2 linked regions of the Caenorhabditis elegans genome follow. The protein of the gene in region 1 purifies or fractionates together with the protein of each later gene. This does not show direct contact. Each region holds a gene or a part of one and is shown on either strand. Other genes may lie near its edges.

Region 1 (7,541 bases):
ACGAAGAAGACATATAAAACCAGTTCGGTTAAATCGTTGGGCCTCTCCGTGGGTGGTGGAAGAAAAAAGCGTAGGGAGACAAGGGGCTTTGATTTTTTTCTCTTCTTTTTACCTATAGGTGGAATATTTATTGTCATTTTTTAAGGTTCAATAGTTACAAAGAAGACGCAGAATCGAAAAGTAACCATTCACTTTTTTTCGTTCTGAAAGTAATACTCCTATATGGCAACTGACACAAAATATAGGAAAAACGCCCTTTGTAGACAAGGCGAGGAAAATAAAGGGCAAAAATAGACAGATAAGTGGGAAAAGTACTTTCACATCCAGAGTGAACTGTACTCACTCTACAAAGTATTTAAGTTTAAAAGATTGGTCTTAAAAATTTTAAACTAAAGTCTAGTTTTCTGAAAGTTTTCAGAACCAAATAAAAACCAAGTCTTATTTTTTTAAATCCACAAAAACCTGAAAGTTCATCCTACAATCGCAATACTTCATTTTAATATTTTTTGTAAAAGTATTTCAAATAATTTAAAATTTCAATTTTTATATACGATCTGCACATACAAAACAAGTGAGGTGTGTTGATTGATCAAAATCAAAGAAAAAAAGAATAATAAAACAACCAAACATAAAAATCCATAAAGAAATAAAATGGGGGCGAATTCAGACAAAATACAAATATATTAATTGCATGTAAAACAATTATCCGTTTTGCAGAAGAGAACAGTCTTAAAGTTTTGGGAAGATGAGAAGAGTTCGGCAGAGAACGTTTTTTCGGAATTTTCAGATTTTTGTTGGGAGAAACAATAATAATAATAAAGTGCCAATTTTGATTGGCTCGTGACCTAGGAAAATGGGTTTTGAGAGGAAAGATTTTTGAATGAAAAAAAAATAGAGCAAAATACATTTAAAAGCTGTGAGGGTTTGGGCACTAGGATACACAGATATTGAGACAAAATGAGAATTGAAAAAATGCAAATGATTTAAATAAAGTACAACCGACTAAAAGCTGACACAGCACGAAAAATGCAAGATATTCAATAGATCTTGAAGAAAATGAATTGAAATGCATGGATGGAGGTTTTTGAGGTATAAAATGATATTGATATTATAAAGTTGAATAAGTGAAATAAGGGAATTATGCAGAAAATACTGGCTGTCTGTAATTGACAACAGAAAAAACCGGTCCCGTAAAAATGGAAGAGTTGAGCGAGATCGCTAAACAAAGGGAGTTGCTGACTGACTCCATTGGAAGTTTTCAGCTCCTATGACAGAGACATTATGATGCCATGTACGGCACAGCAGTGTATGTGGCTTGTGGGGTTGGCAGTTGGATTGCTGGGACCTGAGTGATTGCGGTGACGCTACTGCTAGCCGATCGGTTGACAGTAGTGCGAATCATTTCAAGAACCAAGGAGGCTTCCGGAAAGAATTGCTCCCAGTTCGTGGGGCAGTTTGAATGAAGGTTCCATAAGTACCGTAGTGAGTCGTAAGCGAGTCGTCTGAAATTAGAAAGAATAGATTGTAAGAAGTAATTAATCGACTTATTCATATTTCCCAATGCATATTCATAAGTCAAGTTGTTTTCTGTCTATTCATATGTATTTAGTAAAGATTCTCTCCCCGTTCTTAGTGCCACCTGCTGCGCAACAATACCGTATACATATTGTGCCCCGTTTTCTAATCTGTTTCCTTCTCCTCGCGCACCTATCCAACCAGAATAAATGAGCCTTCCTATTATAAGTTTTTTTCTCCACTCTTCCGATGCTTCTCTTCTCTCCCCAATTCTTTGTCTCCTGTATACAACAAGTTTTTGGAGGGAGAGATGAGCACTAATTATACGGCAACGTTGCTAATTTGTGTGGAGGCGAGGGGAAAGATTGATTTGTGATGGGTTTTTACGAAGGCCAAAGGTTTACCTGATTTGTTCGAAAATTTCCAGAAAGGCGGTAGTACATCTCACTTCACGCCAAGATTGGAGTACTCGAGATCGAGCAGTAGAGACTGCTGGGAAAGAGTCCATTGATTGGTCAAAAAGGGCTAAGAATCGGAAAGCACAATAATCGAAATTCGTGAATCCCATATTTCGAAGCCGAATAACAACATCATTCCATGATGATACGAATGTTTGATTGCCAAGAAGAGCTACAAGACCGACGGGAACTCTGCAAAAAGAATACGATTTTATAGTGGTTTATTGGGCCTTAAAAGGTCTTGAACTTTTGAAAGACCACCGGCTCGTTTTCACAACAATTACGTAACTAAAATGGTAGCCTAATCCTTATTAGAGCCTATGCCGGTAGTGGGAAAATGCGCAATACTTTATACGATGAGCTCGCGGGACGAAGATCTTATCTGGTGCCGAGAATCAAGACTTGCGTCATGTCGGCACCCAATGTTGCGAGAGGCAAAAAAGGTGGGTAATCGAGATAGATGAGTCAAGATTTATCGCCAAATCTTTATAGCCTAATCTTATAGACGCCGCTGTCAGATCGGTTTGTTTATAGTAGTTGTGTTGCGTTGGAAGTTGATTGACTCATTAAATAGCCAGAATCAAACGTTCCACAAAAATTGTTTCCGAGCCTTAGGAAGAATGGAACTCAAAGAAATTTTAACAACTTACTCATCACCATTTGACATTTTATACTGCGAAAGAAGATTTCCGTGGACCATTGCATTAGTGATATCAACGATATGAACGGTTGTCCACGATGTTTGCAACAGAATCATTTGGTCATCCAACTGGAATAAATGCACTTTAGTAAATCTTCAACCAATTACTTATCACACTCAGGATATAAAAAGGTTGCGGTGCAATTACTCCTAGTACATAATGGGTGTCCGTAATGAAAACAATAGAGGTGTGTTTGTATGGGGATGTACCTTTTGAGAAGGAGCGCCTCTTTTTATAGCGGCGATTGTTTCTTTTGATCACCGGAAGCGAGCAATTTATCTACATTATTCCCATCTCATCAGGGTGGGAAATAGAGAATAAAAATATTAGAAAAAAACCGCTGGTGGGAAATGAGAGTGCCTAGATTATTATATTGTTGTATGTATTATTTTACCGATAATTTGCTGAATAGTTGATCATTTTTTGCCCAAATCACGATATCTTTCAAATTTTCCTCTGCGACTTGAATGGAAAATGCGTGCTTTTCAGGTTTGCTAGTTCCTTTTACGCTTGTGAAAATTCGAGCAATTTGAGCATCATCGGGTAATGTTTTGCACATTTCGGCGATCGAGCTGTTGTAAAAGTGGTCCACCGTTTTTTCAGTTGGTGCTGGGCAAAGTGGGAGAATTGGTGATGTGCTGCTAGCTTCTGTCATTCGGCCAGTTGTTGCTGAAATTAAGTAATGTTAACATTTCAAAAATTAAAAAAAAACTTAATCAAAAATTTGAAATGTTGAAACTATAAACTGAAGACAAGAAAAAGCGATAAAAAAACTAAAACTTACTAGAAGAAGTCGAAGTGACCAAGGATTGTGTGCTGGAAACAGTTGTCATTGGCATCATTGTAGCATAATTGGTAGTGTTGCTGGTATAAGTTGGATAGTCGTGCAATGAGTGATGAATGAACTGCTCCGAATAGTCAAATGGCTCCTGTTTGACTTCATTCAACTGATAAGCTGCTGGGAAGGTATGCCTGAGAAGTGGGTCGTCAATTGTGCTCCCAAGAAGTACTGCCAAGCTGTCTTGTGGGTCAACTAAGTATCCAGGTCTCATGATAAAATCGGAAACAGAAACTGAAATTTATAATTTGATGCTATTAACAACTCCAGAAAATATTCTTACGCTGCTGATTAGTGCTACTGGACAATGTTGGACTCTGGAGATGTGCATCATACTCAGTTTTGATATATTCAGTTTTGATTTTAGTTTGGTCAAAATAGTTGATTTGGTTGTTCTGGTCAGTTGTGCTGAAATATGAGATTGATAAGTTGAAAGAAATATAAGAAATAAAGCTCACCTGCTTGAAACCTGGTGCTCTGGAGGTTGATAGAATGTTTGTGCTTGTGATTGTGCTCCAAGGACGGCTGGAACTTGCACTGTGCTCACTCTCATTGCGTTTCTCTGCATACGATGAGCCCGATCCTTCTTATAAAACGATCCGAACTTGTTTCGTCCACCTCTCATCCTATCGGCACGCACCGCTACAAAACATAGTCATTATCCAAGTGCACACACTCATTTCGATGTTCCCCCTTCAATTTACAGTTCCCCGTTTGTACCCGCCAGATGACTGTACACACGGCTCATTTGATCTGGAGTAGAGTGGGCAAGTGCAGTCATTTTTGCCGCAAAACATGCGACACCCTGCAATTGAGATCCTCACGAAAAACGCGCCGCAATGAATGAGTTCGGCACTTCATGTTTTCCCAACAAAGGTACTGTTCAGCACCTATAATTATCGAGCCGGCTACTATTGTTTTGCACTTTTACTACTTCCCCGAATGCCAATAGTTCTTTTATGATGCACCGGATGTCCTAATAAAACTTCACTGAACTTCAGTTGTTTTCCAAGGTGTTGCCTCACTTTTCTCCAACATTTGAAATGGTTGCGCGCCTGCCATAGAGCGTTTGAGATGCGCGCCTCCACCCCCAGGTCTCCAGGTACCGGTTTTTCGGTGACTGTCAGATCTATTCTTCTCTTCCACTCTCACCGTTTCATATCCAATTTTGCATCTCTCTTTTCAATATATCGTTTTTGTTGTCATGCAAAAACGAAACGAAAAGAAAAACGAGAGAGAGAGAAACATGTAACAGAGATGAAAGAAAGGAGAAGTAGAAATCCACAAAAAGTGTAAGCCTTGCGCGATGATTACGTGGAACAAGCTTATGACGCTGCTTAAAGTGCAAATTCAAAATTTTTATAGAGATGGACTTTCGATAACGGTTACATCCCTTATTATCCCATCAATCAAGAAGTCAGCACAGTATGTGCTCTTACAGAAGAGCGGTTGCGCTCTTTTAGATATGATAGATATCTTACCTTCCATTTTCATTCCCATTGTGAGGCACTTCTGGAATCGACAGCTTGGACACCTCTTCCGGCAAGTACGATCCACGTGGCAGTTGGCTTCGGCAGAGCATTGATATTGCTGAAAGAAGGGACAAATTGGAGAAAGTCGAAAACAATACTTAGATAACATCAGCTACAGTGTTATATTTTTATACATATGTATGTACTCACCTTCTTGTTTTGAACAGTGCGTTTGAAGAAGCCCTGTAAAGAGAAAATTATTGATGGAGAGAATGAAACAATAAATGGAAAAAAAAGAATCAAATGAAAAACTAGAGATGACCGCCCGATGAGGGTCATATGGCAACAAGTGAATGATTTTGGCGGTGAGAGTTGTCTGTCCTTGAAGGGCTCGAACGTGTCCCTGAGTCGGGACTCTCACTAACTACAAATGACCTTATCATTTTGCCACACACCCACTTTTTTCCCGCGGAAAAAAAGTGAAGACATCTAAGACTAACCTTGCAACTTTCACACGTCAGAAGGCCGTAGTGATATCCAGAGACTCGATCACCACAAACCGGGCACATCTCGCCTTCATGATTCGGTCGCAGAACCATCCTCTCGACGTCAGTCATTTATTTCTGGAACAGATCTCGGATTACTGTATGTTCGAATGAAATTGAAAACAGAAAAATGAATTTGAGAAAGGGATAGCTGAATGGCACAAGGTATGAAGGACCTGTCCAAGGATGGCACGGTACGGAAGAAAAAGTAGGCGGAGTCGGAAAAGTGAGAGTAAGTGGTTCGCTGCCGTGTGGATCTCTTGGGCCGGTCGATCTCCTCCCACCACACCACTGGCGGCATCAGCGAGCCTATCGTTGGATGTCTTTGGTTGTCTCGCACCCTCCACCATGCTCTACCCGAGGGGACCTACATACCGTAAGACACACCCGCTCGTCTTCTTCGTCCACTAAAATCCGCCAACGGCTACCTATGTATAGAAGAGAGTCGTAGTTGAAGGTCGACGCGGAGGCCTGAAATAGTGAACGTCGATGGGAGAGAAGGGGATGATCGAGAGGGAAAAAATGATGAAAAAAAGGAAGAGAAAAGAAGAGGACGTGGGGGTCTTCTTCTTCTTGACGGGAGGTAAAGAAAAACGATCGACGACGACAACGGAGAAAGCAAACGTGTGAGTATGGCAATTCAGTGGCGTATCGTCAGGGGTCGTGCCAGGCACCGCTACAGTTCGTTTTTTGCCCAGTAACTTCAACTTGAATATCTCTTGTTCTCTCTGCGCAGCGCGCGAAAACCGCAGGGACGGTGGGTCTCGATTTTTTATAGTCTCACTTGCTGCCCCCCGGGTGGGAAAAGGAGATTTGATTTTCTTTGCATTGTTCTTCATTTTTTTTCTTCGTCAATTCACTTATATTACCTACCTAGACTGCTTTGATTCATCGCCTACCCTAAAAGTCGCCTCCACCCCTTTTTCTCGCTATCTACATTTTATTACGCAATCAGCCGGTTAAGAGGAGATATCGAGAGATAACGTAAATAGGACCATATAAGTTAGCCTGGGAAAAAGATTTTTAGAAGCGCCAAATAAAATAAATTTTTAAAACAAAATAAAACAAACTCGACATATGCTTGTATAGAAAAGCACTTCCGGTTAAAAACTATCTGCTTCGATATGATAGAAATTATCCCAACAAGGAAACCGCTTAAAAATGAATAGTACAAATAAGACAAATTATCAAAATCGAAGTCAAATGTTACTAGATGTTACCAGTATAAAAATTTGTCATCCTGTTCTCTACGTCTGAAATTTCGCATCTAAAAACTTCTACTGAATCTTGATGATATCTCACCGTGCAGAATTGGTTTTTGGACATTTTTTTTATTAAAAAAAGGGCGGGGCGCTGGGTGAAACTTTTTTCGCTCAAAAATGACCGAATTAAAAAAAAAAGTTTACAGGTTATTTGAAGCTTAAAAACATTAGGTTCTAAACGTGTGTACTAACAATGAAGCCAAATTGAGATTAATTGAGATAGCTCATCGAAAATATTTCAGAGAGTCAAGACAGGAAATTATTTTCTAAAAAATACTGAACAATAAAAAAGTTATTCTCGAAAAATGCACAAAAAGCAACATGCTCAGCTAAGACTAGAAACGTTATTTAAAAAAAATAGAATATAAAATTTCGTCAAAATATTGATAGTTCTTAGATTAAAAAAGTTATATTCTCATTTTGAGCTGGTATTTCAACAAAGTTTAGATATTTAACAATGTATATTGTAGAAAGCTAATCATTTTTGCATAATTATGATAACGTCATTATCAAAAATTGAATCGTCTGGTTAAATTAAAGGTATGCCTGTTAGGTTTAAATAGTTTTTAATCTAAATTTAAAATAGGTTTTTCTATATTATAAGTTCAAAACACGTATTTTATTGGTTTTCGTATTAAACTTTCCACAAATACTTAGGAAAAAAAGGAAAATAAAATATGGCAATGACTATATCCGGGATTTTGTATATGTATGAAATAGTTAAAGGCGCTATAGACATCATCAGTGAAA
Region 2 (8,009 bases), on another chromosome or scaffold:
TTTTTTTTGAATTTTTACTTGAATTTAAAAATTTCAAACTTTCTCATTTTTATCATTTTGATGGAAGTTTAATTAAGAGCATAAAGCGCGGATTGAGGCGGAAGGCAGGCGGAGGTCGCCTTAAGGCCAGGCAGGCGTCTTCACGCCTACATGGAAGCCCAGGAAAATACAAAAAAGTCTCCAACCTCTCCGACACGGAAAAGCTGAATATAGGTGTTTTTTCAAAATTTTGAACCGCCATAAAAGCATTTAATCCTTTTTTTTTTTGAAAAGTTTCATTCTGATTTTCCAGAAATAAGTTTCTAGAATTTCAAAGGGCCTAAGCTCAAGCCTAAGTCTAAGCCTAAGTCTCACGATAGTTTTAGGGTCTCAAATTTAAATAAAAACCTGTATCTAAAAAATCAAAACTGTTCTAAAAAAGCACCCCCTGCTCTACTTTGACAGCCTAAAACTCGGTTCGCTTTGGTTTTATCAAACAATTGCAAACGGACAAAATAAGTGCAAAGTGTTTCCCTATATTTTGGTTATTGCAAATTTTTTGGTAAAACTGAAGACAGCCGAGGTATAAGCCGCCACGTGGTGTCAGGCTGTCCCATTACGGTTTGATCTACAAAAAATGCGGTAATTTTTTTCTCAAAAAATGTGACGTCAGCACGTTCTTAACCATGCAAAATCAATTGAGAACTCTGCCGCATTTTTTGGTAGATCAGCGTAGATCAATCCAAAATGAGACACTCTGGCACCACGTGTGCGGGAAGCTTAAATACTCAAGCTTCAGGGGGTTTTTTAAATTTCAAATCTAAATCCTCTTGACAAGAAAAATAGAATGACCAGAAACCGAAGCGAGAAAAAAGAAAAAAAAGTGGCGACCTCTCTTTCTCTCTTCCTGTCCATTGACTAAAAGGCAAATCGGATCGGAAGGTAATCCAGTCGTAAAATTGGTGGAAGGTTTCCTATACTAAAATTATATCATAGAATACGGAGTGCAGGAGGTCGGGTTTTTTTTTCAAATGAATTGATATAATAAAATTGAAAAAAAAACGCTCAAATTTTGTATCATATATATGGGAATAAAAAGTTGATATTTGTCAAAATCATGGAATTTGCTTTTCCCTTGCTTTTTGCACTCAACTTGTCTCTCCTATTCATTCTCTGTTCCCCGCCCGCCCCGCTCCTCGCCGCCCAATTCGTCAGAGGGGTACGGTAGACAAGTGGGTGGAGCGTGCGTGTTATGTAGTGTCCTCCTTTCTGCTCCTCGGCCTCATCACCTTTCACGGCCCCCCGCCCCTTATTCTCTTTATAGTCTCTTTGGTGTTTTCCAACACAAGGGGGAAAGAGGAAACACCTTTTTAATGCGTTTATAAAACTTTTTTAGTGCTCTCTTAATCTTTATTACTTGTCTCGCATGCATGTTTCAACATTTATGTTATTTATGTGCCCCCCCAGCTTTTATTTTATTACCCTCAAAAGGTTTATGAGGTTTAAAATTATTTTATTGGTGCTTAAGGTTTTGATTGCCGCGTTTGTCGCCGATAAATAATAATTACTGTTATAAGCTTATTTACTAATTAATTAATTTTCCGCGTCAAAATCCTAAATATATCGTAGCTAAAGCTTTATATCTAGTTAGTATGGCCCCCCATCAATCGACTTTGTCGTCTTATATTTCAGCGGTTTCATAAGATTTTTGATACCTTCAAAAACCAGAGCATAACTATAGATTTGAAAAAGATATTGTCGTTCGAGTTTTTGACATATGATCAAAAAGAACCGAGATATAAGCGTTCAAAGTCGAGTGAGGGGGGCCGTACTAATAGGAAATATACGGTAAATGACTACTGTAGCTCTTACAAGCCGTGCTAAATTCATTTCAAAAATCGAGCCCGTAAATCGACACAAGTGCTACAGTAGTGTTCAAATATAAGCTTTTTAAATTCTCGTTTTTCTTTTCCTTACTTTTTCAAGCTCAATCTCGCAAAGTGCTCAACTTTCAGGTTCAAAAACAGATCTCCAAACCCAAATAACTCCCCAAGCTGCTCATATATGGAATGATTTCGGTGATGCAACAAATGATTAATAACGACTCTCCAGAAGACTCTAAAGAATCTATCACCTCTGTCCAACAAACTCCATTCTTCTGGCCAAGTGCTGCTGCTGCCATACCGTCGATACAAGGAGAAAGCCGTTCGGAAAGAGAATCTGAAACTGGGTCGAGTCCACAGCTAGCGCCGTCTAGGTTAGTGTGAAGTTGATTTGGCAAATGACATCTATCATTTTCAGCACAGGAATGGTTATGCCTGGAACAGCAGGGATGTATGGGTTCGGACCAAGTCGAATGCCAACTGCCAACGAGTTTGGAATGATGATGAACCCGGTCTACACGGATTTCTATCAAAATCCGCTGGCCTCAACTGGTTGGTACTCATACGGACAACCGTATCAATTCACAGCTAACTACTCCATTCCAAGTCTCGATGGAAATTTAAGTGGTTAGTTCCAACATCTCACTTCTATTATGTCATTGTGCTCTTCCATCTGCCCGCCCACCTCCGCATTCCTCGCTATCACTAGCTTTGATCTTACCGCCGCGAGTTGCAAGGGTAGGAGAACACGGTTTTCTGCTCCGTAACTCGGAACTTTCTAAAAGATCATAAGTCAATTCGCAGCCTATTTGGATCTCATTCCTTTCCTTTTCCGCATAACAATCATAAAATTATTAATTACCGTTGAGACCTCCCCCACCCATAAATTTCGCCTCGCCCTTGCCCAATTAGTAATCGATATCAAATCACACACGCGCCTTCAATTCCTACCGTACCACTTTATCTTCCGATCATCTCTTTTTTTGTTCGTCATTCTTCCTTATATAGAATCTTCTTCATTTTTTTGCCCCCATACAGTAATCGGAGAGTGCACTCTCCTCGCGGCGCCAGCGGCGACCCTTTCAAGTTGTATATGTGTGTGTGTGTGTATCGACGACGTGTATAAACACGCACTGGCGACACTCTTTTTTTTTTGGAGAAAAGGCAAAAAAGGAGAGGAGAAGACTATATCGATAACAGACACTTTACATCAGTTTTATGGTACGGTAGAGAAGGGGCAAAGTGTCAGAAGCTGTGGTTCTAATTATACCAATATCGATTTTTTGTAAGGTATGCCGTATTTTAATGTCTTATGTAAAACGTAGCTTTTAGGATTTAGGTTTTTTTCCTGAACTCATTTAAGTTTATATATTAGCTATTTTCGCTTTTACGGTGATTTGCTTGAATTGCTCAAACAAGTATAGGTAACTCGAATATGATAACTGCTAGCAAAAAATTTCCAACTAACAAAATGTTGCTGTTGATTTTTTCCACATCCTTGATATTGCCATAATTACATAACTTTGTTTACAGCAACTGACATCCGGCGGGACTGTTTTTTCTTTAACTAGAATAGAATTACTAAGTACCCCATGACTTTTGAACTAGGTGTGTATAGCAGTTTATACTACCGTATATTTCCTATTAGTATGACCCCCCCCCCTATCAATTGACTTTGTCGGCTTATATTTCAGCGGTTTCAGAAGATTTTTGGTACCTTTAAAAACCAGAGCATAACAATAGATTTGAAAAAGATTTTGTCGTTTGAATTTTTGAAATATGATCAATCAAAGAGAACCGAGATATAAACGGTCAAAGTCGAGTGAGGGGGGCGCCATACTAAAAGGGAATATACGGTGCACTTTCAGATTTTTTTTAATGCTGGAAGTTGTGAATCACCATTCTCAAATAAAAAAGATCAAAAACCAGTGTAATAGAATCTCAAATCTCAAACCTCCCAGCAACAAATCAACAGTCTATAAAATAACTCAACTTGGCGCCTTATGGTACTTTTCGGGGGGGCGCTATACATGTCCCTATCACTCATTCACAAATTGCCTTTTCGCCCAAAATATTTCGTTTTTCTCCCCGTCTCTCTCGCTTGCTGTGTGTTATCTCCATTTTCGATTTTACGACTCCGTGTGGCTGCTTGGCTTCGTCCCGCTCCCCGTATTTGGAGAGGCAGAGAGACTCTCTTTTTTGGCGTCACGACGACTGCTGCGCAAATTTTCGGATTAAAAACAGCGAGTGGAGGGGGGGGGCAGCCCCCATTTCAATTAGGGGAAGGACAAATTGAGATACGGTAGTTAGGGATGGGCGAAGATGAGGGAGAAAGAGCTGGATGGGGATACGACAGACATGTTGGAGCCTTCTTTGGAATGTTCTTTTGGGATCGGGAAGGGCTATTCTAAAGGTACATAATGTTTTTCTCAGTGGGTCTCGCTACGGCGTCCGTAGTTTTTTTTTATCGATTTTAGTGACACGTATTACTAAAACTAAAAGCTGCTTGTCATGTTGATATAATGCGGAATTCGATATCGAGATTAGCGGGAGAAAGAACTAAGGACTTTAAGCGACTTTGAGCACTTTTTGAAGCATCTAGTAACTTTCTCTATTAGTATTGCACCATATTGTTTAATTTTGAAAGCTTATACCCGAGAAGTGGTACCTTTACGCAGTTTGTCTACCGTATACCTGGCAGTTTGGGTGCGTGTTTCTCAAAAACGGATGGTTCATTTAAAAATTTTTTAATCAAGTTACAGTATTCACAAAAAATTCTAAATTCATTAGGCCAAAGTTTTTTCCTTATAACGCGTCCAATCCGGGTTATGCACGGTGTTCGATGGAGCGCATTTCCACGGATGTACCATTTGCCGTGCCGTGAAAATATTACACGTGGTGCCAGACTGTCCCATCACGGTTTGATCTACAAAAAATGCGGTAATTTTTTGCCCAAAACAAAAGTGACGTCAGCACGTTCTGCGCTTCTCATACTCCCGCATTTTTTGTAGATCTACGTAGATCAAGCCGAAATGAGACACTCTGACACCACGTGATATTACAGTTACGCTAAATTCTGAGAATGCGTGTTGCACAACATATTTGACGCGCATAATATCTCGTAGCGAAAACTACAGTAATTTTTTAAATGACTACTGTAGCGTTTGTCTCGATTTACGTGTCTTCAGAATTAAGTGCAATACTATTACGATAATTAGAAATCTTTAACGCAAGTTTTAGTTTTGAAGAATCGTCGAAGCACCCACATTTTTTGATGTTCCTTTTTTGATTCGATTATGGAAATGATTCACGGCTATGAAAAATGATGTTCTAGAAAAATGACATTCCTGACTAAAAAGTACCGTAACCCTGCTCTAACTTCCAACAGCTTATCCCTTCTCTCTCTGATGCCAGATGTGATCTTCATCTTCTTCCGTATCCTTTCGGCAAGTTGTTCATTTGAAGTTCAAAGTGTATGCCGACCGGGTCCCAGTGTGAGGAGTAGTGTTGTCTAGAATTTTATGACGCTAGTTTTATAGTCGACGACGACGGCGTGCCACTTGCCTTCTCCTACAAATTCTTTGCCCTTCATTGTTTTTTGTTCTGATTTTTTGAAAGATAAAGTACTGTACACTGTACACTTTCGGGTTTTTTTGAATTTTGAAAAAATCGATTCTCAAGTAAGTTTCACAGCAAAAAAGGGTAACTCTATGGCATGACTGAAATGGCAAAGTAAACACCTTTAGAATTCGCAAGCGTAAACTGAATCATCAAATTCAATAAATCGTAAAATGTTGTATCAATAGGGGTCTAGGAGGTATTGTCCCCGTCAAGGATCATCATATATCAAATTGTTGTAAATGGGGAGGATTAGGATATAACAGGTAAACGGAATATGTTGGTATTAAAAGGCCTAAAACATTTACGTAATCTCCGAGCAGAATAGAAGAACACCTGGAGAAACGGGCATGCAAGAAGGCTATAAAATCATCCTGTTGTGGGTAGTTGGCAGATGTTCCCAGGAATTTTGGAAATTTTTTTTTGTAGAAGAGTCCGAGACGTAGTTAGTAATAGTTGAGTAGATCTTCCTTAATTTACTCAAGTTATCAGTAGAGCACGTTTGTATTGATGTACCAGGCGCCCTGCCGTGAGTTATTAGGGAAAGACAAAATTCTGAGAATGCGTATTGCGCAACATATTTGACGCGCAAAATTTCTCGTAGCGAAAACTACAGTAATTCTTTAAATGACTACTGTGGCTTCTTCATATTATTTTCTCATTTTTTGCTCAATTCATTTCAAAAATCAAGCCCCCTGTAGTTTTCGCTACGAGATATTTTGCGCGTCAATAATTTTGAGTTTTGTAATCAGGTACTTTCCCGGAAATTCTTCAACTGTTTGAATTCATATGTCCTTAAAAAGTTGCATAAATTTCACGGAAAACGAGTTAGAGGCTGCCCATCAGGGGTTTGCGGCAAATTTGCCGAAATTACCGTTTGTCGAGCTAGGCAAAATTTGACAATACAATTTTGACCAAAACACTTGATTTTGTCCTCCAAAAATTTAGTAAATTGACACAAAATTAAAAAATTATATCAAAAAGTATCACATTTTTCTGAGCTTAATAAACACGGCAAAATTGCCAATTTTGCCGAATTTGTCTTGCTCGGCAAATTTTGAGATTTGCCGCACAACCCTGGCCCCCCCATATGCTCAGTTTACCGTAATCTAGACAGCTCCTGGCGTCGCCGTCCAATTAATTAGAGTTGAAAGGGACCGGCATGTGTGTCTGCCCCGGGCCTTCTATCCCGAAAACATGGCCCACCCCAATTTTACGACTGGAACCTCCCCCCACCTGCTCTCAGTCTGTGTCATCACACAGACGTCTCAGAATATATATATGCTCCATCTTGTTTTATAGTTATTGATTTACTGCAATCAAAATATTTTATTTTCAGATATCACAATTCCAACGACGGCTGGAAGCAGTGCGGCAACAACTCCGAACGCTGCAATGCATCTTCCGTGGGCAATCTCACATGACGGGAAGAAGAAGCGACAACCGTACAAGAAAGATCAGATATCAAGACTTGAGTACGAGTATTCTGTCAATCAATATCTCACGAATAAGCGGAGATCAGAACTCTCTGCACAATTGATGCTTGATGAGAAGCAGGTCAAGGTCTGGTTCCAGGTATGTTATAGGCAGTATTCAGCGGAAAGTCTAGAGATCATAAATGTGAATTTTTATCTAATGTCCTAATGAAAAAAATTCCAGAAATTTTGGTAAATTCCCAAATTTCCTCATTTTTAAAAATTAATTTTGAGCTTCTCTGGATTTTCAAAAAACGAACATCTGAAAAATACTAAATTTCAATATTTTGAACATTTACAAGGTTTGGGCACTAATAATTGAAAAAATACAATATTTAGCGCCAGCCAAAACGAACTCGAAAAAATTGAAAAATTTTTTAAAATTTCCAGAAAAGTTTTGGCAAAATGCCAAATATTTAAACCTGTTCCGACCTCTAGAATGTTTTATAGGAATTTTTTTGGCAGACTTCCAAAATTATGACTTTCAAAAACTGAGTAATTGTCACTTTTCAAACTTGTCAAACTTGTCAAAATTTTCAAAATTTTTTTGGAAAAGTTTTGCTATCATTTTGGCACCACTGGAGTAGTTTTTAACAATTTCCTCACTGGCGCTAATCCATCAATAACCATACTTTAAAAGTTAAAAATTACTTTTCAGCACGTGGTGTCAGAGTATCCCATTTCGGATTGATCTACGTTGATCTACAAAAAATGCGGGATAAGAGGCGCAGAGTTCACAACTGATTTCACATGGTTAAGAACGTGCTGACGTCACCTTTTTTTAGGAAGAAATTCCCGCATTTTTGTAGATCACACCGTAATGGGACAGCCTGGCACCACTTTTTGTAGCCACACTTTTTTGAACTAAAGTAACATTCGTAATTAATTATCAGAGTGCAAATAAATAAGTTGGACATTTGTGAATTCACGTAAAAATGGAAATGTGCAAAAAGGAGGCAAAAGGTGAGCAGGTTTCAGGCAGGCATCAGGCCTTGAAACCGCATCTGCCTACCATGAGAAATAATTGAAAACTTTAGAAACCTGAAACCGCGCC

The links.
Region 2: the proteins of nhr-25 (region 1) and nob-1 purify together in Caenorhabditis elegans (affinity purification with western blotting, with the first as the bait; one study listed by BioGRID). This does not show direct contact.

The regions. Positions count from the first base shown.
Region 1 is NC_003284.9:13,006,952-13,014,492, reverse strand, and holds nhr-25 (Nuclear hormone receptor family member nhr-25), read right to left. Parts: upstream 6,001-7,541; 5' UTR 5,905-6,000; intron 5,608-5,904; 5' UTR 5,602-5,607; coding exon 5,485-5,601; intron 5,476-5,484; exon of another isoform or gene 5,273-5,475; intron 5,228-5,272; coding exon 5,195-5,227; intron 5,103-5,194; coding exon 4,994-5,102; intron 4,722-4,993; exon of another isoform or gene 4,580-4,721; intron 4,387-4,579; exon of another isoform or gene 4,204-4,386; intron 4,155-4,203; coding exon 3,971-4,154; intron 3,921-3,970; coding exon 3,796-3,920; intron 3,747-3,795; coding exon 3,459-3,746; intron 3,344-3,458; coding exon 3,069-3,343; intron 2,743-3,068; coding exon 2,624-2,742; intron 2,166-2,623; coding exon 1,920-2,165; intron 1,503-1,919; coding exon 1,280-1,502; 3' UTR 531-1,279; downstream 1-530. UniProt on the Caenorhabditis elegans protein: Orphan nuclear receptor and probable transcription activator, required during development. Plays a role in male tail tip morphogenesis regulating the expression of the transcription factor dmd-3 in a negative feedback loop.
Region 2 is NC_003281.10:12,078,302-12,086,310, reverse strand, and holds the start of nob-1 (Homeobox protein nob-1), read left to right. Parts: upstream 1-1,994; 5' UTR 1,995-2,048; coding exon 2,049-2,236; intron 2,237-2,280; coding exon 2,281-2,489; intron 2,490-6,819; coding exon 6,820-7,055; exon of another isoform or gene 7,056-8,009. UniProt on the Caenorhabditis elegans protein: Transcription factor, involved in posterior embryonic patterning, morphogenetic movements of the posterior hypodermis, and cell fate specification. Binds to the 5'-TAGT-3' motif in regulatory elements of genes, including Meis protein psa-3 and microRNA mir-57.